2 linked regions of the Pelodiscus sinensis genome follow. The protein of the gene in region 2 purifies or fractionates together with the protein of the main gene of each other region. This does not show direct contact. Links are inferred from orthologs where the notes say so. Each region holds a gene or a part of one and is shown on either strand. Other genes may lie near its edges.

What was found.
Region 1: the proteins of NHSL3 (region 2) and WASF1 purify together in Homo sapiens (affinity purification with mass spectrometry; 3 studies listed by BioGRID and IntAct, with this or other methods). This does not show direct contact. The link is inferred for Pelodiscus sinensis from reciprocal best matches to the Homo sapiens genes NHSL3 and WASF1.

Annotation. Positions count from the first base shown.
Region 1 is NC_134713.1:78,569,569-78,573,478, reverse strand, and holds the start of WASF1 (actin-binding protein WASF1), read left to right. Parts: upstream 1-1,021; 5' UTR 1,022-1,477; intron 1,478-3,910.
Region 2 is NC_134735.1:3,324,329-3,328,238, forward strand, and holds the start of NHSL3 (NHS-like protein 3), read right to left. Parts: upstream 2,600-3,910; coding exon 2,317-2,599; intron 1-2,316. UniProt on the Homo sapiens protein: Able to directly activate the TNF-NFkappaB signaling pathway.

The sequences.
Region 1 (3,910 bases), on a different chromosome or scaffold from region 2:
CAATGCGTGCATTGTCACTTCTTCTCACACACATGGACTTCACCCTCTCCGTCAGGTAAGGGTGATATCTGCTGATACCATTATTGGACCTAACCAAGTGAGTTATAAGATCAAGAACACATATTCCTGCGCATCCAGAAATATAATTTATGCTATCATGTGCCGAAAGTGTCCATCTGCTATGTACATTGGACAAACGTCTCAGACTCTTCGCGAAAGGATTAACGCCAACAAAACAGATATCAGACAGGATCGCAAAGAAAAAACAATTTCTTGCCATTTCAACCAGAAAGGACACTATCTCAACGACTTATCTACCTACATTCTGCTACAAAGACCTTTTACATCTGCACTTGAAAGGGAATCCTCTGAACTGTCATTCATGCTAAAATTCGACCCCAACTACTTTACCCATTACAAAGATAGCTACCTTTCCCCACCTCTAATATCATTAACTCACAGACACTTACCTTCCTCCCCCCCCTGTTCTGAAATGTGATTTGTCCTTTTCATATGTGTTCATTTTTTTAAATTGTATCCTTTGGTATATATGGTTGTGACTATTTTCTTCCATTATTTGATCTGAGGAAGTGGGTCTGGCCCACGAAAGCTCATCATCTAATAAACCATCTTGTTAGTCTTTAAAGTGCTACATAGTCCTGCATTTTGCTTCAGCTACACCAGACTAACACCGCTACATTTCTATTACTATTCTGTCAGATAAGTAACTTTTAACTGCCCTATTTCATACACGAGGAAACCGATACATGCACATATTCAGAGAGTTCTGCGTACCGCCAGGACCCTCGAACAGAAACCATGCATCTGCGCACTAACCACGCTGCGCTAAGTACAGCAGGAGACACTCGATGGAAACAGCCCCTCCCACTCTCTTTGGAGCAACAAGCAGCTCCACCCACTCTCCGTCTAACCACTCCTTTCCCATTCCCATTGGCTGCCCGAAGCCGGCTTTAGAAAACGTCACAATGCCTTCGGCCCCTCCCCCCCAGCTCGACTAGCGAACGAACTGGACTATACCACCTGCCATTTTGAGGGGGTGTGTGGAGAAATCGGGGCTCCCTAATACTCAATGTCACGGATTTTGGGGGAGGCATTCACCTAGTTCCTAGGGGAGGCGGCGAAGGCCGGTCAGGTGTTGAGTAAACAGCCGCCACACGCTTGGCGAGTGTGTCCGGGCCGGGGAGAAGCCCCTCCTCCCACGCGCACACACACGCGCCGCTCTGTGTCTATTGTGAAGCCTTTGGGGAGCTCCGCGCCGCCGCCCCCCAGCTCGCGCCGGGTTCGGGTCCTTCCCCTCCACAGCGAGTCTCTCCAGCAGGGTGAGGCGGTTGGAAGGAGCCGTTTGAACTTCGGATTCGTAGCGAGCAGGGAGCAGCGCGAGCCTCGGGGGCGCTGAGAGGGCGGGGCTGGTCGGCGGCATGAAGGTGTGAGGGGAGCAGCGCGCTGAGCGGCGAGAGTAAGTGCCCCGCAGTCTGCGCCTCCTCCGCCGTGACCTGCGCCCACCGCGGGGAGGGCAGCGGCCCTTCATCGGCCCCCGCCATCCTTCCATCCCCACCCAGAGTGACACCTTCGCCATCCTTCCCCCCTCAGGGTGCCCCCCATCTGCCCTGGGGTGAAGGGAGCAATGGGGGTGAGCCAGTGGGGTCCCTCTCTAGCTGGCTGCAGCTGGTGTTTGGGTGGGGGGTGAGCGCCGAGCCTCCTCCGGCTGTTGCAGGGACAGGTGTGTCAGTTCCTCGCCTCTGGCTGCGGGGTGAGGGTGGTTTTGCACTTTTAGCAGCGAAATGTCTCCCCCCCCCCCCCCGCCTCCAAGTGCAGCACCCAGTGCAGAGCCTCACTCACGGGGCGGGACCTTTCCATTGTTGGGGTCAGTAATTGATGGGGGGGCGTTCGTTGGTTGTCACAAGACGCTCGCTACTACCCTGACCCAGCCACCTCCGCTTAATTTATGTAATGAGGACTGTAGAGGCCAGAGGTGGGAATGGATGATGGAGCTAGATGCGATTTGCCTTTTGAAGAGAAGCAGATTCAATCATACTCACTGGAAATAGCTGCCAATTTGAAAGATTGCTACCATTGTTCCGCTGTTGCCTGTGAGCAAAAGACCTCCAAACAGCAATCCCAACACCATGTAGCCCTCCGCCTCCTCCAGCCACCAAAACATCCATCCCTCTGTGCCAGTTTAACGTGTGGCTACAATAATTATAAAATGTAATAGCCCAAAGTAATCTGTACTTGTATCTTAAGCATGTAGGAAGTCCTTCTAGATCTATTATTCATGTGTCTATGAATGATTTTGTTTCATTCAGTTTTGTGTTTTGGAATCAGAAATAAATATAGTAATTAGATGTTTTAGTTTGCTTTGTGATGTTGGATTTTCACATTTCTAGCAAATATTTCAGTTTTAAAGGAAACCCACTGGATTCCTTTGAAGGTATCAACAAGAGTAAAGCATAGCAAGTAGAAAATGCAGCATGAGGCTTTAATATTTCTTACATGCTGTTTTTAATTTTTTTTTAGTGATCATGGCCACTCTAGAACCAAAGTAGCAGAAATAATATTGACATAAAAATAACTGCAAGACTTGTTTTAGGGGAAATTTCTGTTTTCTAAACCTTTTTTTTATTTCGACATTTGATGTGTACAACTTTTATTTCATCTTTATAAATGGACTATGTATGGTACAATAGCAAAACAAGTTTTGTGATTTACCTTCTGCTTAAACACCAGATGTGAGTTACCCCATATGTGATTTGTTAATTTTGAGAATACAGCTGTCATTGACTCTCATACTGCCTGCCAGCAATTGTTAGGTGATTCTATAAAAGTGCATTCCTTGTTTTCCTGGTATGCACCTACAGGGTGTTGTCTGTAGTTGCATGGTATAGTTGTTGAAAGGTAATAATGTATTTCAAAGTCTGTTTGTCAAACTAATCTTTGGTGTAACATTGCTATTTAAATATTGTATCTCAAGTATTATGCTGCAAATCAATTTATATAAAAGCAATATTTTCTTAATGCTGAATCTCTGTTAAATCAATCTGTGTATATTAATCTCGTACTATCGTGATGGAAACTACAGCTTTTAGTTAAACTCTGTTGTGCTCAATATATTATAGTAAAGTGTAATCATTTAAGGGTCTGGAGTAAAGTCACAGTACAACCTTTAGAATTATTTGCTAGTGTAAATTTGCTATTGTCCACCTGCTACTTCCAGTGAGGTATGTTGTCAACACATTCTTCAGAACTAAAACAATGGGTAGGTCTACATATGTGGTGGTTGTAGGGTACAGATATTGCATGTCCAAGTAGCGTGTCTATAAACAGTGGTAAAGAACAATGATTCTCAACAATGGGACCTCTTCGGAGGGCCGTGAGCCAGTTTCAGGAGGTCCAACAAAATAAACCAGAGAGCAGGAATGGTGCTGGAAACCAGTGAGTATTGGATAGAAAGCCAAAGCTTGGACCCTGCTGCTGAGATCTGAAGCCAAAGCCCAAATAATTTAGCTTTTGTAGAGCCTTGGATGCTTGGTACCCCCAACACCAGCTCTGGCTTTCAATTGATTGGTTATACGGAAACACAGCTGTTGGGGTACAGGTGTGCAGTGACATTTTTTGTAGTATATTGAGAGGTAAGGCCTCAGAAGGAAAACATGTTGAGAACCCCTGGTGTAGAAGGTGAGATACAGCTTTGATGAGCAGACACATCAGAACCTTAAGATATGTACTAGTATAGTCGATTAACTGATAAGCAAAAGATTATGGGATAATGATATAGACTACAGGCAGTCCCTGCGTTACGCAGATCTGACTTATGTCGGATCCGTACTTACGAACGGGGCTTTTCTCACCCCGGAGGACGCGGGCAGCGGGACCGCCCAGACGCGCCGCT
Region 2 (3,910 bases):
CAGGCAAAACCTATGCCTGGCACGGCAGCTCTTGTCATCAGCAAAGGCAGACCTAGCCTCCATCCAGATCAGTATTTCAGGCAATGGCAGCTGAGTGTTACCTGACTCCAGGGCACAGCTCTGCAGCCCTAGCGCACAGAGGAGCCCAATCAATAACTTAGCACTTCAATAGCTGTCACTTTTTCCATCTGCAAAGCGCTGCCCAAACGTTCAGTGAAGAATCCTCACAGCCCCCCTAGTGAGCTAGGGAAGTGTTTCCCCCCTTTTCCAGGGGCTCACAACACAAACACGGACCACGACTTGCCCAAGATTACAGAACAAGACAGTAATGGAGCCAGGCTTCCTTGATCACCACCCAGAGTTTACTCCTCTGATCCATGGAAGTTTCACCACATTGGAACTCAAATGGATAAGCCGCTGGGATGGGAAGGGTTAAACAGGGTGTGGTTCCAGCAACGCTCTGCATTTTGGAAGCCAGCATGTTATTAGAGCAGACGGGGGTGACTTAATCAGGCACGCAAACTGCAGTCATTTCACATGCATGTTTGTTTCTACCACTCCACACCTCTCTCCCCGTCACGCCAAGAAATGGCTGCACTACGGAAACACAGAAGGAACTCTAGGTACGGGGTACAGCTCCACGGCACACAGACGCAGCCGGCAGTCTCCCACGCAAAAGGGGGACGTTTCCTCCAGCAGAGCAGAGGAAGGCCTACAACAGGCTCACAAGTCCCAGGAAGTGGGGGATTTCCAGCAGTTTGGGCGGGCGGGGGGCAGATACCCAGTTTGCACTTGCCAAAGGGCTGGGCAGCCATGCTAGAAGGAAGCACAGTGCTGGAATCCTAGCTGGCTTTAACCACACACGGCCAGTGCCTATAAGAGAGTCAAGGTCTCCTACATTCCAATCCCAACTCCAGCAATGACTGGTTGGACAGGCCTTGTTTTGAAGATTAGATACGGAGCCGATGCTGGTGTTGCACCACTTGAAGAATATCATCCTGGGTGATATTCAGGTTCCTACGCTTCGCCCATCACTGTGGTAGCTGAGCACGTAACACTAGGGGAAAGCTGCAGCCAGACAAGTCTGACAGGACGCACTGGTAGCATCTGATGAGACTTTTAGGTGAAAACTCAGCCATCTTTCAAAGATCTCTTTGTAAGAGCAACTTATGTTTCCATGGCTGCTCCTCTCTTAAGAGCTCTCAGTGGGCTCTCGAAAGCAATAAATGGCAGACCACTAAAAGAGCAACAAAGCCGCTGAAAAAACAGCAACTCCCCACATTATGGATACCTGCAAATTAAAGTAATGAGCACCCAGCACGGGAGCAAGAACGGTAATACAGGGCAATGAATCATGGGATGGATTAGTACAGGAATCTGTCCCCCCTTTTCCAAAAGGCCAGGCAGAAGAGACTTTGTCCTGATGTTCTAACAGGTGAGCAGAGTCAACAGCGCACACAGGGTCCCTGACACCACAGCCCAGCCTGGGCGAAACAGCTCCAGCTTAGAAGGGACAACAAGCAGCACTTCCTTCTTATTACTGCTATACTGGGCCATATGCAAACGGAGAACGGCCCCAACACGGCATAGCCTCGCCCGGACGGCTGGAGGAGGGTCTAGAACCGGGGACGAAGGGCTTAGCCCCCAGTCACGTCATATGCAGGAGCAGTGGCGGGAATGAGCAGAGCCTGGGTTTAGTAGTGGTACCCACTCTCGGAGGGATCGTATCCTGCCCTGCCAAAGGACGCAGTGGAACTAACAGGCCTTTGCCATTTCCGGCTATGACCCCACAGCCAGACGCTGAAGGCCTGCAGCAATAGAGCAGCCCCTACCCACCACCCTGAAGTAATGGGGAGGAATCACCTCCAGTTTCCCAGGCCCCGCCAAGGCCTGGCTGGCGATGTTGGCAGCAGGCCCTAGGCCGCAGCGAGAGGCTACACCTGGAGCAGCACAGGTCCTGCGAAGACCCGGCTGAGGTCGTCTCTGGAGTAGCTCCAGGTTTCTTCCAGTCTCTGTGACCTTCTGACTCAGCGGAGAGAGAACATACCCAGTGAACCGGCAACCTCCCCGCGGGGAGGAATGAGATTACGCGGGGCGCCTGGCATTCTCCATTGCAGGGAACTGGAACAGGCCTGCTGCCACAGCCATAACAAGAGCGAGGGCAACGTGGGGGTGGCTACACCCCTCGCAGGGCTCCTGCGAGCTGGCCCCAAACGGGGGGCAGAGGGAAGCGTCTGGGTGGTACCAGGGGTGGAAGGAGAGACCCAGCCAGCAAAGAGCCCCTCGCCAAGGCACCTCTCCTCCACCCTGCCCTACCTTTGCCCTTCTTCTTGGCTCGCTCCTCTTGCTTCTTTCCCTTGGAGGCCGCCTCCCCCTCCGCTGGGGGCGCCCCGTGGTGGGCGCTGGAGCCGCTGCTCTTCTTCTTCTTCCTCTTGCCCCGAAGCCAGCTGAACGCCCGGCGCAGGGTGGAACCCGCCTTGGGCTTCTTCTTCTTCGGGGGCCCCTCGGCGGGAGGCCCGTCGCCCTTCTCCTGCCCTGCCGCCGGGATCCAGGTGTCCTCGGCCGCCGCAGGTGCAGCGTGCGAGCGCCTCCCGGCCATCTCCGAAGAGCTGGGGCGGGGGGAGCCCCACGGCTCGGCGGGGAGAGCTCGCCTGCGCTACGCTCCGCCCGGGGGAGCCACCGAGCGCCCCATCCGGGGCGGGGGGAAGCGGCTGCTCTGCCCGTCTCCTGCGCCCCTCTCCCGTGCGCCCCAGCTCGCCTCTCCGCGGTCCTGAGCGCCGGGGCCCCTCACCTGCCCCGGCTCCCGCGCCCTGGCGCGCCCCGGCTCCTCCCGCGCCCGGCTGCACAAGGCGCCAAGGAAGCAGCCGGGGAAAGTTTCTCCCGGGCGGGCGAGCGGGCGGGGCCTGCCGAGCGCGCTGGGGTGTGGAGCGGCTCTGCCCCCGGCCCCTCTCCCCGCCTCCCCGGCTGCCCAGCGCGGCGCTCCGCGACCGCTCGCCGCTCAGCCCGGGGCCGGCGCGCCCCAGCCCGCGCCGGGCGCACTGGAGAGGGGCCCGGCCCGGGCTGAACCGCCCATCCCGGCCCGGTGCCAAGGGAGCGCGGCGGCAGGTAGCAGCCGGCGGCGGCCTGGCCGGAGGGGGAGCGGGCAGCGGCCTAGGGCAGAGGGTGGGTGGGGCCGGTCCCAGGGCTGGGGGGCTGAGCTGCTGTTGGGGAAGGGGAGGTGCGTGGGCGCGCTGGCTGGATGGGGGGCAGCAAGGGGCAGGTTAAGAGGGAGGGGAGGATTCATCTCCTCCCGGCTGGGGAGGGGCCCCGCGCTTCCAAGCCAGCCGCCCCCAGTTCGGCGGAGGCTCCCAGCCCGGGAGGAGGCTGGGGAGAGAAAGGCCCCTTTGTGACTGAGTCTGATTAGCGGGGGGCGAGTCTTCGCTGGGCAGGATGTTGCACACCTCCTGCTTTGTCCCTTCCTCTCTGCCCCCCCCCCCCCGACGCGCTGGACTTGGGGTGTGGGGGGGGCTCTCCGTTGCGATGGTTCCGTTGATTAGGGGGTCGTTTTTAAACGAAATAAACCAGCATCACTTCGCATTGAACTTTCCCCTTTGCATTACATTAGAATTGGCTGCTGCACCATCCCCTGGGAGCCTGGGGGGCATTTCCAGCATCCCCTGGGAAAAAAAAACTAACTGCACCTTCTAGCCATGATGGGCCAGGGTGGGTTGGTTGGTTTTTAAATATAAAACCACCAGTTATAGCATTAAAATGGACGTGAGTGTGGAGTGTCTTGGTGAGCGCTGGGAACTGTGAGCTTACCTCTGTGGCCTGGGGGGCTCTCCTACTGAGAGCTTGGATAGGAGTGTAGTCCAGTGGTTAAAGCAAGAGACTGGATGGGCCAGCTGTGTAATCTGAATTCTTGTTCGGA